Linked DNA regions of Ovis aries. The protein of the gene in region 2 purifies or fractionates together with the protein of the main gene of each other region. This does not show direct contact. Links are inferred from orthologs where the notes say so. Each region holds a gene or a part of one and is shown on either strand. Other genes may lie near its edges.

What was found.
Region 1: the proteins of ACTR3B (region 2) and ARPC2 purify together in Homo sapiens (affinity purification with mass spectrometry; 6 studies listed by BioGRID and IntAct, counting the BioPlex papers as one, with this or other methods). This does not show direct contact. The link is inferred for Ovis aries from reciprocal best matches to the Homo sapiens genes ACTR3B and ARPC2.
Region 3: the proteins of ACTR3B (region 2) and ARPC4 purify together in Homo sapiens (affinity purification with mass spectrometry; 5 studies listed by BioGRID and IntAct, counting the BioPlex papers as one, with this or other methods). This does not show direct contact. The link is inferred for Ovis aries from reciprocal best matches to the Homo sapiens genes ACTR3B and ARPC4.

The regions. Positions count from the first base shown.
Region 1 is NC_056055.1:220,286,528-220,291,438, reverse strand, and holds part of ARPC2 (actin-related protein 2/3 complex subunit 2), read right to left. Parts: intron 2,365-4,911; coding exon 2,238-2,364; intron 54-2,237; coding exon 1-53. UniProt on the Homo sapiens protein: Actin-binding component of the Arp2/3 complex, a multiprotein complex that mediates actin polymerization upon stimulation by nucleation-promoting factor (NPF).
Region 2 is NC_056057.1:116,773,906-116,778,816, reverse strand, and holds part of ACTR3B (actin-related protein 3B), read right to left. Parts: intron 4,777-4,911; coding exon 4,633-4,776; intron 1,537-4,632; coding exon 1,363-1,536; intron 1-1,362. UniProt on the Homo sapiens protein: Plays a role in the organization of the actin cytoskeleton.
Region 3 is NC_056072.1:16,888,265-16,893,175, forward strand, and holds part of ARPC4 (actin-related protein 2/3 complex subunit 4), read right to left. Parts: intron 4,663-4,911; coding exon 4,544-4,662; intron 3,361-4,543; coding exon 3,249-3,360; intron 1,952-3,248; coding exon 1,856-1,951; intron 890-1,855; coding exon 680-889; 3' UTR 1-679. UniProt on the Homo sapiens protein: Actin-binding component of the Arp2/3 complex, a multiprotein complex that mediates actin polymerization upon stimulation by nucleation-promoting factor (NPF).

The sequences.
Region 1 (4,911 bases), on a different chromosome or scaffold from region 2:
CAGGTTGATGGTGTTGTCTCGAGCACTGGCGTTGGTATGGCGAGGGAACAGCACTGAGTGGGGGCACAGACAAGGTGTCAAGGTCTAATTACACCAATGCCAAAGGGTGGAAAGACCAGCAGCCTACTGTCAGCTCCCATCTTGCCCTGCTTTGGGACCGTCCACTTGTTTCATTAGGGTTTTCTGCCAGTAAGTGTAAATGGAGGAGACCATGGCCAAAAACCAGGGCTCCCTCGGCAAAGGGCTTGGTCCTGGCGTTCATTCCGGGTCTGGATTCTCCGGCCGTGCACTGTGAAATCTACTAGCTTCTGCCTCTCAGAAGTCTCTCTAGAAAACGACACAACTGGCTACCTGGGTGGACTCTGGAGCAATGGGGATTAGAGAACAAAGCCTGCCTGTTGCAGGACCTTGGTGCCGAAGCAGAGTAAGCTTTCAGAGAAACTAGATCCATAGAGGATCATGTAGTCTGTGGTGAACACCAAACAGGAAGGGACAAGAACCTGAGCATTCCTGAGGAGGAATGGCAGGATGAGTTGCTTTGGCTGGGGGCTGAGAAAAGCCCTTGCCACTGCCTGACCCCATGAAGTCCTGTGCAGTCAGTCACTCAGTTTCACACCTGGGCAGACCTGCACGCCTCTCCCTCTGGCTTCTGGGAATCCCCTCTATCTTCTGCATCTATCCTACTCAGTGATCTCGGCATCAGCAAAGTTCTTGAGCATCAGGTTTTGTTGAAACGAAAAGAAATGCCACCTAGGAAAGGGTGGGACCGCTGTGGGTCCACCTGCCCTCAAGAGAAGAGAGCACCAGGCCAGGGGGTAACCGCACTGCAGGGGCTCTGCTGATGACTGTAAGTTCACCATCAGTTTACGTACCACAAAGAGAGACCAAGAGAGACAAGAGGAGAGAGCACCAGGCCAGGGGGTAACCGCACTGCAGGGGCTCTGCGATGCTAATGACTGTAAGTTCACCATCAGTTTACGTACCACAAAGAGAGACCAAGAGAGACAAGAGGAGAGAGCACCAGGCCAGGGGGTAACCGCACTGCAGGGGCTCTGCGATGCTAATGACTGTAAGTTCACCATCAGTTTACGTACCACAAAGAGAGACCAAGAGAGACAAGAGAAGAGAGCACCAGGCCAGGGGGTAACTGCACTGCAGGGGCTCTGAGATGCTAATGACTGTAAGTTCACCATCAGTTTACGTACCACAAAGAGAGACAAGAGAAGAGAGCACCAGGCCAGGGGGGGTAACTGCACTGCAGGGGTTCTGAGATGCTAATGACTGTAAGTTCACCATCAGTTTATGTACCACAAAGAGAGACAAAGAGAAACAAAGAGAGACAAGAGAAGAGAGCACCAGGCCAGGAGGTAACTATACTGCAGAGGTTCTGCTAATGACTGTAAGTTCACCATCAGTTTACGTACCACAAAGAGAGACAAAGAGAAACAAAGAGAGACAAGAGAAAAGAGCACCAGGCCAGGAGGTAACTATACTGCAGGGGTTCTGAGATGCTAATGACTGTAAGTTCACCATCAGTTTATGTACCACAAAGAGAGACATTGCTAATTAAACTGTTAACAGGCTGTCCCAACCTCAGAGAGAGTAACGTGCCAAAAAAAAAAAAAAAAAAAAAAGCATGTAGACTAGACTTAAGGAAACCTGGTTAATCAGCCTGCTTATTTCCGATAAACGGATGCGTCTTCAGCACTATGGTGGCTTGCAGAACTCCAGAAAAGGGGACATCTTAGTGCTGTCAGGGTCAGTGTGTGTGTAAGCTGCGATTCTAAACTGTCAGCTGTTACCAATGAACCAGCTCACTAGGCTGAAGCAAACTGTGAGAGGGGTGGATGTCAATCTTTCCAGAGGGAAAGTGGGTAAGTAAATCACGGCTGGAGCTCTGGTCTAATGAGCAAAAAAACCCAATAGGCGCCAAAGGACAGAGAACCCCAACTAGCTGCTTAGCAGGGCTTATGTGGCCCTAACCCCTCCTACTTCACTCCAGGGGCTATCCTTTTTTTCCCTGAGGATTTAGATAAAACAGGGAAAAAAGGAAAATGATTACTGTATAAAAATACAAACAGCACATGACTTGTATTAGTGCCCCACGACATGCCTCCTACAGTCATGGCACCGGCAACAGGAACACTCTGGCACACCTGCTTTTGCCACTCAGCCCCATTTCAACTGCAGTATGAACCCACCAAGGTGTGCAAATGCAGCAACCCCGCCCAGCTCACCGAAGGTAATGTAGCCGATGTTGTCACCCACGGCGGCATCGGTATCTTTCAGCTCTAGGGGAGGTTCCCTGTGGCTGAAGAGGACCTGTGGGGCTGTGTGGCTGGCTCTGCGTCCTTCTTTGAACTCCTGCCAGGATGAAGCAAAAAGCAACCAGAAGAGAATCTGGTGTGAGATGAACAGCAAGAGCAGCAACCTATGCTCTGGGGTTTGCCCTGTGGATGTGACCTCTGAGCCCTCTGACCGGCAGAGGCTAAAAATAAATGACACCTAATATGAAGTACTGGTCTTCCCTGGTAGCTCAGCTGGTAAAGAATCCACCTGCAATGCAGGAGACCCTGGTTCGATTCCAGGCTCAGGAAGATCCCCTGGAGAACGGATAGGCTACCCACTCCAGTATTCTTGGGCTTCCCTGGTGGCTCAGACGGTAAAGAATCCACCAGCAATGCGGGAGACCTGGGTTCAGTCCCTGGGTTGGGAAGATTCCCCTGGAGGAGGTCATGGCAACCCACTCCAGTATTCTTGCCTGGAGAAGCCCCATGGACAGAGGAGCCCGGTGGGGTACAGTCCATGGGGTCGCAGAGGGTCAGACATGACTGAGCGACTCAGCACAGCACAACGTGAAATATTACCAGTGTTGGCTGCCATCAGTGTACTTCAGATTCAAAGAGGAGAGATCACAAAGTACTTAACAAGTCCGATTTTCAAAGAGCAAAGAAAAGCACTGTTAATCCTCTTCTTTTGTTTTGGAAAAATATGCATGATAAAACTACTTCTAAGGCTAAATAGACAACAAATTGCAAAGCACTCAGAGAACCAGATTACGTTCAGGATAAGGATGACAGTTTATTAGTTTCTTTTGATTTAATATGAAAGGAGGTTATATTTTTCAGGAAATTTGATTAAGATGTCAAGTGGAGCTCAAGTAAGAGCTCACCCTTGACAAAATCTATCCACCCTCAGCAAACTACAGAAAAATGCCTAAGGATGTCAAAACCAAGCCATTCTTCCCCGTCCTAACCTCCACATCTCAAGCTTTCCTAACTCATACATTCCTGTATGAACAGGTAAGTGATACGAGGCATCCCCATTTCAACCCAGATCTGTAATAACAGGACTGGACTTTCCAGCAATGCCAGTAAAACCTACGGTTTAAACTCTCTGAAGGACAGAAGGATGGAACCAAAAGTTTTCCAAGGTCCCTGAGTTTTCTGAGAGTACTGAGAGCAAGTTATACAGCCCTTCAGTATACAACTTTCTTTCTACTGCTGCCCAGATATAACGCTCTCTCCAACAGCCTGGGCACAGCTAGTTGCTCTCCTGTGGGAGTTCCCATGGCTTTTCTGCAAACCTCTACTGTAATATTTCACTAGTCATTAATGCATCTGGCTTCCCTACCAGGTTTTAAGCTCCTCAAGTCAAGGATTCTTTTATTCATTGCTGTATCTAGTCCTCTGCCCTTCAAAGAGACTGTCTAGCACAAGAATGAGAAAGAAAGTACCACGTCCCTAGCTGAAAGTGTCAGCACACTGTAAAGGAAGGAGCAGGGACTGCACTTCACCCGCAGCAGGAGGATACACACGGACGGGCAAGCCCTCAGTAGCAGATATGTGAAGGAAGGATACCACCTGAGGAGGTCTAATGCCCAGTCGGGGAGCTCGTCTGTTTCACCCCCTGCCTTCTGAACTCCTTGTGTAGCTTCCAAAGGTTGGTGGGAAATAACATCACTGGGTTAGGTGAGCTCCCCTCTGAACTTTGATCCCCAAAGGAAAAACATCTGAAGAGGGAGGAAAGGATCCAAGATAATTCAAAACGAAAATCCTTAAAGCAACGCTGCTGAAATTGCCTTTCTCTAGAAAATACCTTTCATTCTGCAACTGGGTTGGGACGTTCTCTAACTTCTATCAGTCTCCCTCTTTTAGTCCCCGGCGGGAAGAACAGATAAAAACTGCCTGCCAGCACTTTCTTGTGCTTCATAAGTTTCTTGAACGCTCCAGTTCACTGGTACATGTGGCGTTCACAACCAGATGGAGTATCTATAAACCTGTGGTGACTTGGCAGCATTTCTCAGTTTTGTACATGGAGAGTGATACATTTCAGAGTTGGTTAACAATATACTGACTCGGGGCTGTAATTCAGGCAATCTCCTGCCTTTGTTTCTCCTTGGTTTTTCTCTCTTACACAACACTTAAAAGGCAGTAAACCCACCAACCCAGCAGCTTTTTGCCTTAGAGTCTTTGTTACATATGTATCAGCAATACTGCCTCTTTTTTCTTCTCTTTTTTCTCTCTGCGGCATCACAATATCATTTCTTTCTTCCATCAAAGCACAACTGACCACAGAAGCTCAGAATAAACCCAAATATATACAGAAATTAAGCCTATGATAAAGGCAGCATCTTAAACCAGTAATGTAGCTGCCACTGGGACAGGCAGTAGTCACTTAGAAAAAAAGATGGCTCTACCTTTCATATCATGCACCAAGAGAAACTACACATAAGTAGTCAGATTTATACATAAAATAGGAAGCTATAAAAACACCAGGAAAATAATGCAGCTAGATTTCTGTACAACCTTTCAGTAGGGAAGGTGCTTCTAATTATGACTCAAAAATCTAGAAGCCATAGAGGTTGATCAATTTCACTACATGAAAATAAAGTTCTACATGAGGGAAAAC
Region 2 (4,911 bases):
ATTGTAACTTTTAAAACCGTCAGGCTGCAATGACCACGTCAAATATTGGTATGTCAAACAAACCCAAGTGAGTGTGCATGGGGTGACTGACGGTGACTCGTCCCGGTGACACGTGTGGGCTCACTGAGGGGAAAACATCACACAGGAGCCAAGAGCGCCCGGCCGTGCATCAGGGGACACTGGGAATCCTGCTGCCCGAGACAGTAAGTCACATGTGTGTGACGTGTGTGATGTTATGGAAATACTGTGAGTACAGAACAAGTGTATCACTTATGAGTATTAATGTCATCTAACAATCAGCCCAGGATACAAGAGAAAACACAGCCAGTGAACAGTCACACTGTAAACCTGAGCCAGAAGCCTGGCGGAGGCGCAAGGGCGACGGCTCGAAGGGGTGGCTTTTTAATGAAACTATGGTAAAGGTCACGTCACTGCGTAAACAGTCTTTGACTCAGTTCTGTAAGTCAAATAAGGTAAAGTGTAAAAGAATTCAATTTTAAAAATTTGAACTATGCTTTAAAGATCAAGGACACCTTTAGTGAACTCAGGAAGGTAACACGGGGTGCCCTCCAGCTGTTCACTGGCCATGGTCAGTTTCGTGCCTGTTTTAAATCTATAATATCAAAAGGCACGAATGAGGGTTAAGATTGTGATGAGGCAATACTGTGAGCCATCTCCCTGCACGAAAGGTCACACACACCTGGAGACAGGCAGCAGCGTGTAACCGACCTAGCAAAAGCAAACTGCATTAGAAAAATAAACCAAAATACGAATACAACCCATTTTATTACATCTTAAAATGCTGTCTCTCCATTACTGTACCTGCAAGAGTTAATAATAACTCTGTGACTATAGTTAACACAGCGAGGCCTGTAATTCCTAAAGCCCGTCTAACTGCTGGAAAGGCTGCTGCTCAGACAGGAGCTCTAACTTTAATTTGCAGCAGGAAACACGGCAGGACCCACCGTCTGGGGTTCAAAACTGGAGTTGGGGCGGACGTTCACAAAGCATGGAAAGGTCACGTGCCCTCCTACACCCACACTGAGGGTCTGCTGGGATCAACCAATTTTCTGGTTACTGTGAGAGCAACTCCATCTCCACTATCTTCTATTGCTCTTAATCTTCTGATTAAGCGTCTTCCTAATCACTTGTTATCTATCTTTTCAACAGAGAGCCAGGTCTAAAGAGGGCAGCAGTCAAGGAGGTGATCACACAGGGTGCTCTAACAGCTGCTGAGGGTGGGGCGGGCGCCCGGCGGTCCTCACAGGAAGGCGGCCCGAGGACTGCTGCCTACAGACACCAGGGGGCAGCATCGCTCCACCACACACGCACACTTCGCTCTCCGAAAGCCCGCCTCTTTACCTCCGGGTGAAAGAAAATCTCAGGGCCCAGGAACCTTTCGTAGCCGACATCTATGACGAACTTCTTCTGGTTGATGGCGTTGATCCCTGTGTACTGTTTGATCCACTTCCGAGGATCCACGTCGTACTTGGCGAACTCCTTGACTATATCAGGGCAGATGTAGCAGTATTTCTCCTGCAGACAGACACACACACACACAACGTCACCAGAGTCTGCCTCTGACCAAGACCCAGTAACCCCCAGCCCTGGACACCCCGAAACCAGTCCTGCCTGCTCATCACAACTCCAGTGCGGACGCGGCCAGGCCTCACAGACTCTTCATGACTCTGCTCTGGACTGTGAGTGAACCTGCTTGCTTTGCAGCTCAGCTACGCATCTTAGCCTTTCCCTCATATTCTGCTGCTGATCAGCTGAAGTACTGTCTGACTAAGTATCTTGTACTAAGTATCTTGTCTCCATCTCCTGTCTCCTTATTCCTCGTGGGCCCCACACGGCACCTGCCCGGGCACTCACAGCCGTCCACCCTGACCAGCAGACCTGCGCTGCAGCCCCACACTGAGCACGGCTGACTTCACCCGGATGCCGAACACGGCTGATCCCGGGTCGTGAACCTGCTGTGCAGTCTGACACGGGAGGGCCACCAACTCCACAACATGGACACACTGGACTCACAACAAAACACACACACACCGCTGCCCACTGGAGCACACACTCCAGCGCAGTCAGGAGAGTAAGCAACGACCGGGGCGAACAAGCAGACCACACGGCACCTTACAAGGCGCCAGGTGCCACGGATGAAAGAAGAGGCCGACGGGCAGGACGGAGCGGCCGCGCACTGCGGCCTGAGAACCGCTCCTGGTTTTCACCCGGACACCAGCACCAGCCTGAGATGTGCCCAGTGTCTCCCTGGCGTCTGGTGGTGCTCCCCTGGGGATCTCTGGTCAATCACCTGTCCTGAGAGCTGACCTCAGCAGAGCAGCAGGTGGCTCTTGGGTACCAGATCCTGAAATAAAGCTCCCTGTGGGCAACGTGGGCTGTGTTCACCACCAGGCGCAGAGCTCATGCTCACCGCACATTCTAGGGCCTCTGAAGGTGGCTTCACGATAGTAAGTTTGAAGTGTCCTAGAATCCCTGAAACAGACCCTAATGCCATCCTTGATACACTCTGTCAAATTATGAGCTCCACAACACTGTGCTCGTTAATATCACAGTGAGTCCGCGCGACTGCCAGTCTGCAGACTGCAGAAACATGCCGCTGCCCTGGAGGCCTGCTCAGCTTCTCAGGGCACTGCAGCTGCTCCAAGTGACGGCACGAACACCTCAGTGACGCTGCACGGGGCACGACCGTGTCTGCACTAAGCTCTGGACCCCTGGAGGCCTGCTCCGCTTCTCAGGGCACCTCAACTGCTCCAAGCGACGGCACGAACACCTCAGTGACGCTGCACGGGGCACGGCCGTGTCTGCACTAAGCTCTGGACCCCTGGAGGCCTGCTCCGCTTCTCAGGGCACCTCAACTGCTCCAAGTGACAGCACGAACACCTCAGTGACGCTGCACGGGGCACGGCCGTGTCTGCACTAAGCTCTGGACCCCTGGAGGCCTGCTCCGCTTCTCAGGGCACCTCAACTGCTCCAAGTGACGGCACGAACACCTCAGTGACGCTGCACGGGGCACAGCCGTGTCTGCACTAAGCTCTGGACCCCCGCTGCCAGGCCCGTGAGTGCCAGGCCCACCAGCCTCAGGCCTGCGGAGACCACCCCTGTGGGGTGCAGGGGCCGCACCACCTTTCCAGGACACCCCTGCCCCGGTCTCAGGGAGGAGTGAGCGGAGGACTAACCACAGGCCAGGCAGCTGGCTGGAGGGACAAGGGTCTCTCGGCCACAGCTAAGCCACACACTGTGCGGCCTGAACACACCAGATTCAGGGTCAGGGTCAGCACTAGGCTCCAGAAGGCCCACGACAAAGGAAAGGCCACCACCACAGGGACCCGGAAAGCAGCCCCCTAGTCACCACTCAGGGCTCTGCTCCCCCACATCCACCCCGAGGGCCGGTCACATGCGTGACAGAGGCGGCGGGGAGGGGACAAGAAGAAAGGCGGGGAAAGGAGGGCAAATGGGGGAGGTTTCAGTCTAAAAGGACACTTCCGTGAGCTTCCCAGGGGGAGAGGGCGGATCTGGGGTTGGGCCAGGGCTGCAAGTTTGGCTCTGAGGCGCCCCCTCCCTGGAAGCTCCTGTCTTGGACACCCAGGGCAGCAGGGGCCCCTCCTTGCAGGAGCCCCAGCCCCAGAACACCTGTGCTCAGCTCACCGAGGGCGGGGAAACAAGGGAGTGCCCCCTTGCTCCCTTTCCTTCAAGCCCCCTACTGGGTGCTTAGTGGGGGACAGGCAGGGGAGGCTGAACTCCCTGAGGTTCAGATGCTGTGTGCTCTATGAGAAGGGGAGACGCCCGGGGCCCCCTGTCGCCCCCGCACTTAAATGCTTCTCTATAAGCAAAACCCTTGCTCTTCATCTGTATGATAATCGCCCTTGTGTTATGAAGACCCTCTTGCATTTTGGCTATAATAAAAAACAGTAATTTGTCCTGATTTTCAGTAATTTGTCCTGATTTTCAACCTGGAAAGAAAGCTCCTTTAAAAAGGGTCTATCAGCTGCTACATACAGAGAAACACAAAGACCAGACTGATGAGCCCGGTCCAGCGGGCACTTTTAGAAAGGCTCGGTAGGACGTTTTTCTTCTCATCTTACTGATTTGATCTTTAAGGCCCTCAGAAACCTTTCCAGCACGGTCATTACAGTCTAGAAACGACAGGGGGCGGGGTGGAGGGGCGCCATCGATGACCCCACCCTGGAACAGCATCACTCTGAGCTGTAATTCACAGGGCTCAGAACCACACTCTACAGGTGCTGGAAATGCGTCTGAATGCTGGCTGACTTCACTAGACTCCTGACGTCACTGCTGCTGCTCTCTAAGCTACAGATGAACTTGGAGGGCGGGGAAGCAGACACGCTCAGCTACCTGAAGTTCTAACCTAATTAGGCTCCTTGAAATGATGCTGGCCTGGGTCTGGGGCTCAACCCCGGCCACCAAGCTGCCCTCATTAACAGCAGGAACCCCCACAATCATAAATGGTTGGAGACACACGTTCTCTCAGGGAGGGAGGAGGAAGGAAGATGAAGCTGGGGGCAGGGGCGGGGCTGGGGGCAGTGGCAGCAAGGGAACCCTCCAAACACCATTTCTCTCTCCCCCAGACAGCCTGCCCCCACCTGTCTCTACCTTGATGGCTTTGGCGGTCTCCAGCGACTGCTCCGGGGGTATCCCCGCCTCCCGCTCCCGTAGCAGCTGCTGGATGAAATAGGTGATGTCCCGCCCTGCGATGGGGATGTGCTTGATGCAGCTTCCAATCACGTAGCCTTCTGCCTAGGGAAGGAGGGAAAAAGACAAGGGGGAGGCCTGTGAGCAAGTCCAGGAGGCACAGGCTCCCAGCGCCGAGTCAGCCCTGCCCGCCCAGCACCACGGCGGTTCCCACGGCCACACACACTGTCTGTGGAGGGC
Region 3 (4,911 bases), on a different chromosome or scaffold from region 2:
TGGGCTGGACCTGTATGCACTGGTAGGAGTAAACACTAATTCTACCATCTAGGGATCATAGTCAATTCTGAGTGGAACATGTCAACAAACCAAAGACTGTTTGGAAAAAGAAGAAAAAAAAAAAGGCGGCACGCTGTGAATGTCTAAAAAAGAACTGTGTCATCAGTTCATCAATGTAAACAATCTGTCCTCCTCAGAGGGCGGCAGTGCTTTCTGTCAGGAAGGCACAAACAACTGAAGAGGGATCTGTAGGACTTAAGCCATGAAAATGATGGAAAACAGAGTCAAGAAATCGTGACTTTAAGCCTGAGAAACAGACGCTGAAGGAAACTATTCGACTCTGTTTGAGAAGTGGAATTACACTATGATTAACCGCCCTATATTCCCAGAAAATTCACATGTGGCTTTAACGTGACTCACTCGGGAATGGAACTAGATACACGGAAGGACTCTATATATTCTGAGACGTAGAAGTGAACGACTAAGAGAGGCACTGCCCAGGGCCCTGGAGATGCTCTATAGCTCTCCAAGATGAACCTCAGGCCCTTCCCACACCAAGGCATGGGGCTGACCTGCTGCCCACCAGAGTTCCTAGAGGCCTCAGAAAATATTTACGCACAGTTGGCACCATTTCCCCAACAGATGCTAAGTTCTCAGCACAACCTTTATTTAGGTCTTTCTACTTCTGAAAGGAAACCAAGAAGGCCACTCCACTTACATTTTTTAGGAACTCCTCAGCCACAATGCGTGCACGGGCATTGACAGACAGCTTCATCTCACTAATTTCTTTGTCAATTTCCTCCATGAAGTGGATCACAAAGTCCACCAACTTGTGCTTATACATCTGCTCTGTGTGGAAGTTGGTGATCAGAAAGCTGATGTCATACCCCTAGGGAAGAAAGACAGTGGAGAGGAGAGAGAGAATCAACATCCTGGGGAACTTCACTGGCCAGCCCTCTATGTCACTCAGCCACATGCTTCCAGCTGACCTTCTCCCAAGTGACACACCCTTCAGGCAGCAGCCCATCTGCTCTGGTGGCGGTGTGTATGCTGGTTCCAAGGAACTAACAGGTGGATCAACTGATCCCAATTGAGAATTTTGTCTGGCAGACTCTCTGTGGTATAAACAGTTGTGTTCAGAATGAATCAAGGGAGAGTGAAAGGACTTTAAATCTTGTTATAGAAGAATCTCATCAAACAACAGGAACATTTAGTCCAGAGAGAAATGAAGATGCTGTGGGAGAAGGAGGTATTGAGGTTTTTAACTATGGTTTTTCACTTTTTCAGACTGTGTGTAGAAGAGCAATTTTATTTATTCTTAGTGGCCCTGGAGGTTAGATCTAGGAACAGGAGAGATTTTAGCTCAGGATGAGGGTGAGTTTGGCCAACAACTAATGTGTCTGACAATGGTGTCCGCTGCTCTGCATGGTAGTTGCTTAGTCACTGACCGGCAGGGAGTTGAGCAGGCAGAGAATCTGTAGTGAGAGCTCAAGTACAAAGTCAGGCAACAAGTGACCCCATATCAACTGTGGCCTTGAGAGACTGACTCAATTGGTGGCAAAGTTTAGAATTCTGATTCATCATGCCCTTTCTGCCACTACACTATAGGCTCTGGGAAGGTCAGCAATGCACCTCATCTTTTTTGGCCTTTTCCACAGCTGAGACAGACTCAACCTCCTATAAGCTGATTCCCCTTATTCTTACTCTAGCCGAAATGAAGACCAACTCTCAACTCAGGCTGTGGGTGCCCTACAGCGTGGGGAGCAAGCAATCCCAGTTTTAGAAACAATCCCAGGCCACTGACAGTGGACTCAGTAGTGGAATTCTGGGTATTACCAACACATGGATCACACACCTCCACTGGTTTCCTTCGGAGGATAAAGAAGTTCTCTGCTCGCATCATCATGAAGCGCATGAACTTGTGACACAGAATCTTCTCGATTTCATCAGCCTGGTAAGAACAAAGAAGAAATGTGTTTCCCTAAAGTCATTCCCTAAAGGCCAACAGAAATTTGTAGCCTGGTCTTCGGAGCCCAAATTCCCCTATGCTCGCTGGAGACACTGGGGTTGGGTATTGAAGTCTGAATCACAAATAACTGGTTGCCAGCTAAAAGGAAGGTCCACTACATGAGAGCCCTCCAACTTAATGGGGCATTATCATGATCTTGCCTTTACCCATTCCAGAAAGGTAACTCTGACAAACCCAAATCTTATTTTTTTTTAACTTCAAAACACATTTTGGCTACATCGTGTGGCATGCAGGATCTTAGTTCCCAGACCAGGGATCAAACCCAAGTCCCCTGTAGTAGAAGCCCAGAATCTTAACCACTGAACCACTAGGGAAGTCCTGGCAAGCCCCAATCTTTTATCCAATCCTTCCAGAATCCATATCTAGATTCAAATCTGCCCTTTCCAGTCTCATTTCACTAATGCTACATCTTCCAGTCAGTGATACACACTATGAAGTATATCAGATAACCTTAGATGGTCTCCACTTTAGTAACAATGAACATCAAACAATTCCCAAAGTTTTCCCCTAATGAACTCTCAACATTTCTGATGAAAGAATTTTGTATTACGGGCTGGCAAGACCTTAACAGCCCCCAATATTTATTCATCTCCCCTTTTAACAAAGAGCAGGCACTAGGGATAGAGCTTTCTGGAGGCAAAAGTCTTAACTCTGCTTTATTTTCAATGTGCTTGCATTTTAGTGTTGTCCTCAATTTGGCAAGGCATATTGTTTTTCTTTTTATGGTAAATTTAAGTAAAAAAAAAAAAAGTTAATTGAAAGAAAATATTAAGTAAAGAAGTAGCCAAGTGGTCCATAAACATGGAAGAAACGATGGGGGTAGTGGGAATGTCAGACATTTGTGAAACAATGAAGAAACATGAAACTACACTTCATTTTCTTACCCTAAATCTCACTTTTGGAGTTTATGGCTATCAAACTGATACCATTACTACTTGTTTGTCTGAACTGAACTTATTCTTCACTCATTAGGAAGAGTTTTATGACCTGACACCAAACTGGCCCACAGCCCTGGCTGCTACATTACCTGCTGTCTAATCCAGAGCAAGCCTAGGAGAGAAGGCTGATTTCCCTTTATTCTACTGATCTGGTAGGTTTAGCAAATCATTTCCTGGAAAGAGAACCTGGGTTTCTTTGCACCCTGAATCTGGCATGTTGACCTCTTACATAGGGGATCCCTGGCCTCCCCGGGGAGGCAGGGGATCTGGGGTGAGCTCACCTGTTTCACAGCAATGCTGACCCTGACAGAGTTGATGGAACCTTCAATCAGAACCTTTTCCTTTTCATTCCTGCTGATGGTCACGGGTTGTAGCAGGAGCTCTTTGCTACTCCTGAGAACACAAAATGACAGAGGTACTATAAAAGAACAGAATGGTCAGGGAGGCTCCACGGCAGGTTCTAGAATCACAATCTGGGACCACAGAGTCCAAGGAATGAGACTCACAAGCAGGGGTGCTCCAAGATGGGGGCCAGAGAGCATGTTCTCCAGCAGAAAGAGCACAGGCTCTGGAGTCAGGGTGAAAGGTTCTGAAATTCAGCCTCCTTTGTTACTTCCATTGGGCAAGTTACCCTGTTGGAATTTCAACTTCCTCATTTGGAAACAGATCAACAAGGGTCAAGTGTGTAACAGTGAGCTGGCACATTGTAGGAGCTTTACAAATGACAACTCCTATTTTCATAACTATAGGGAAACCCATATACTGTTTAGGGAATGAGAGCCTGCCTTAGAGATAAGGCCAAGCTAAAATCAAACAGTTTGGCCTCCTTTAATAATCAAAATTATGACCCCTCTCAACTCAGTTCCCATTTTGATGCCTCTGGATCCCTCAGACGGTAGTTAATTGTATTGTTGGTGTCTGTGAGCTATTATCCTTTAAAATGCCTAGTGGAAACCATATACATTAAGTAGCATAACAGGGCACATTTTAACATGATGTCAGCTTTCTTACATTCAAATCGTATCAATTTACTGTGGTAACAATCCTTATCTCAGTTGTATATGTACCAGATTAAACATCAAAGGGGAAAAAGAAAAACTTTTTTACAAAACAAAAATCAGATAAAATAATCCAAAGTATAGAATATTTGTAGTAGGGGATGGGAGTCCAGTTGTTTATTTGTTTTTTGAGGGGAGGGATCCTTGATCTTCAAATTTGAGAAGAGCAGAGATGGCATCTCAGATAATTCAGTTCTCAAGTCTTCTCCTTAAATTGCTAGAGGGTTCACTACCTCCTTGGGAGATATTTCCCAAATGGCCCTATGTTGAAAAGTCACAACTTGTGTCAAGCAAATCTTGGCTCCAGAGTAGCTTCTCCCCTGAGTTTTGTCCTGTCAACCCACTGAGACCCAATTTTCTGAACTTCAAATTGGGAACCATCATTTACCTGGCAGCAAGACAAAAAATGTGAATTGTAGTCGTTCTGACAACTCCAGGATGGAAGTTCACGGCCCTCTCCGATAACAGTCCTCTCTGGGTGCTACATCCATCACCCCCTACCCCCTTTCCTCCCATACCTGACTTCTACTTCCGGCTTGTTGTGTCGTTCCACGACCTGGGAGGAGAAATTCTCCAAGCAGAGGGCAGCCTGCAGTGTGGCCCGCACGGCACTCAGGTAGGGGCGGAGAGTGGCAGTCTGGAGGAAAACCCCAAGGGACAATCAAAATCTGTCTCACAAAATCCACTGATCCCATAGTCCAGCTACACAGGAGCCAGGCAGTACTGAGGTCCTTGGCTCTCAGACACTGCAGTGAACAGAACAGACTAGGCCTTCAAGATGTCTTTCATTTTAAGACTAGAACAGTGGTTCTCAAAAGGGGACTGTTTTGCCTACCAGGGGACATATGGCAATGGCAAGACATTCTTCATTTTCACAACTGAGGTT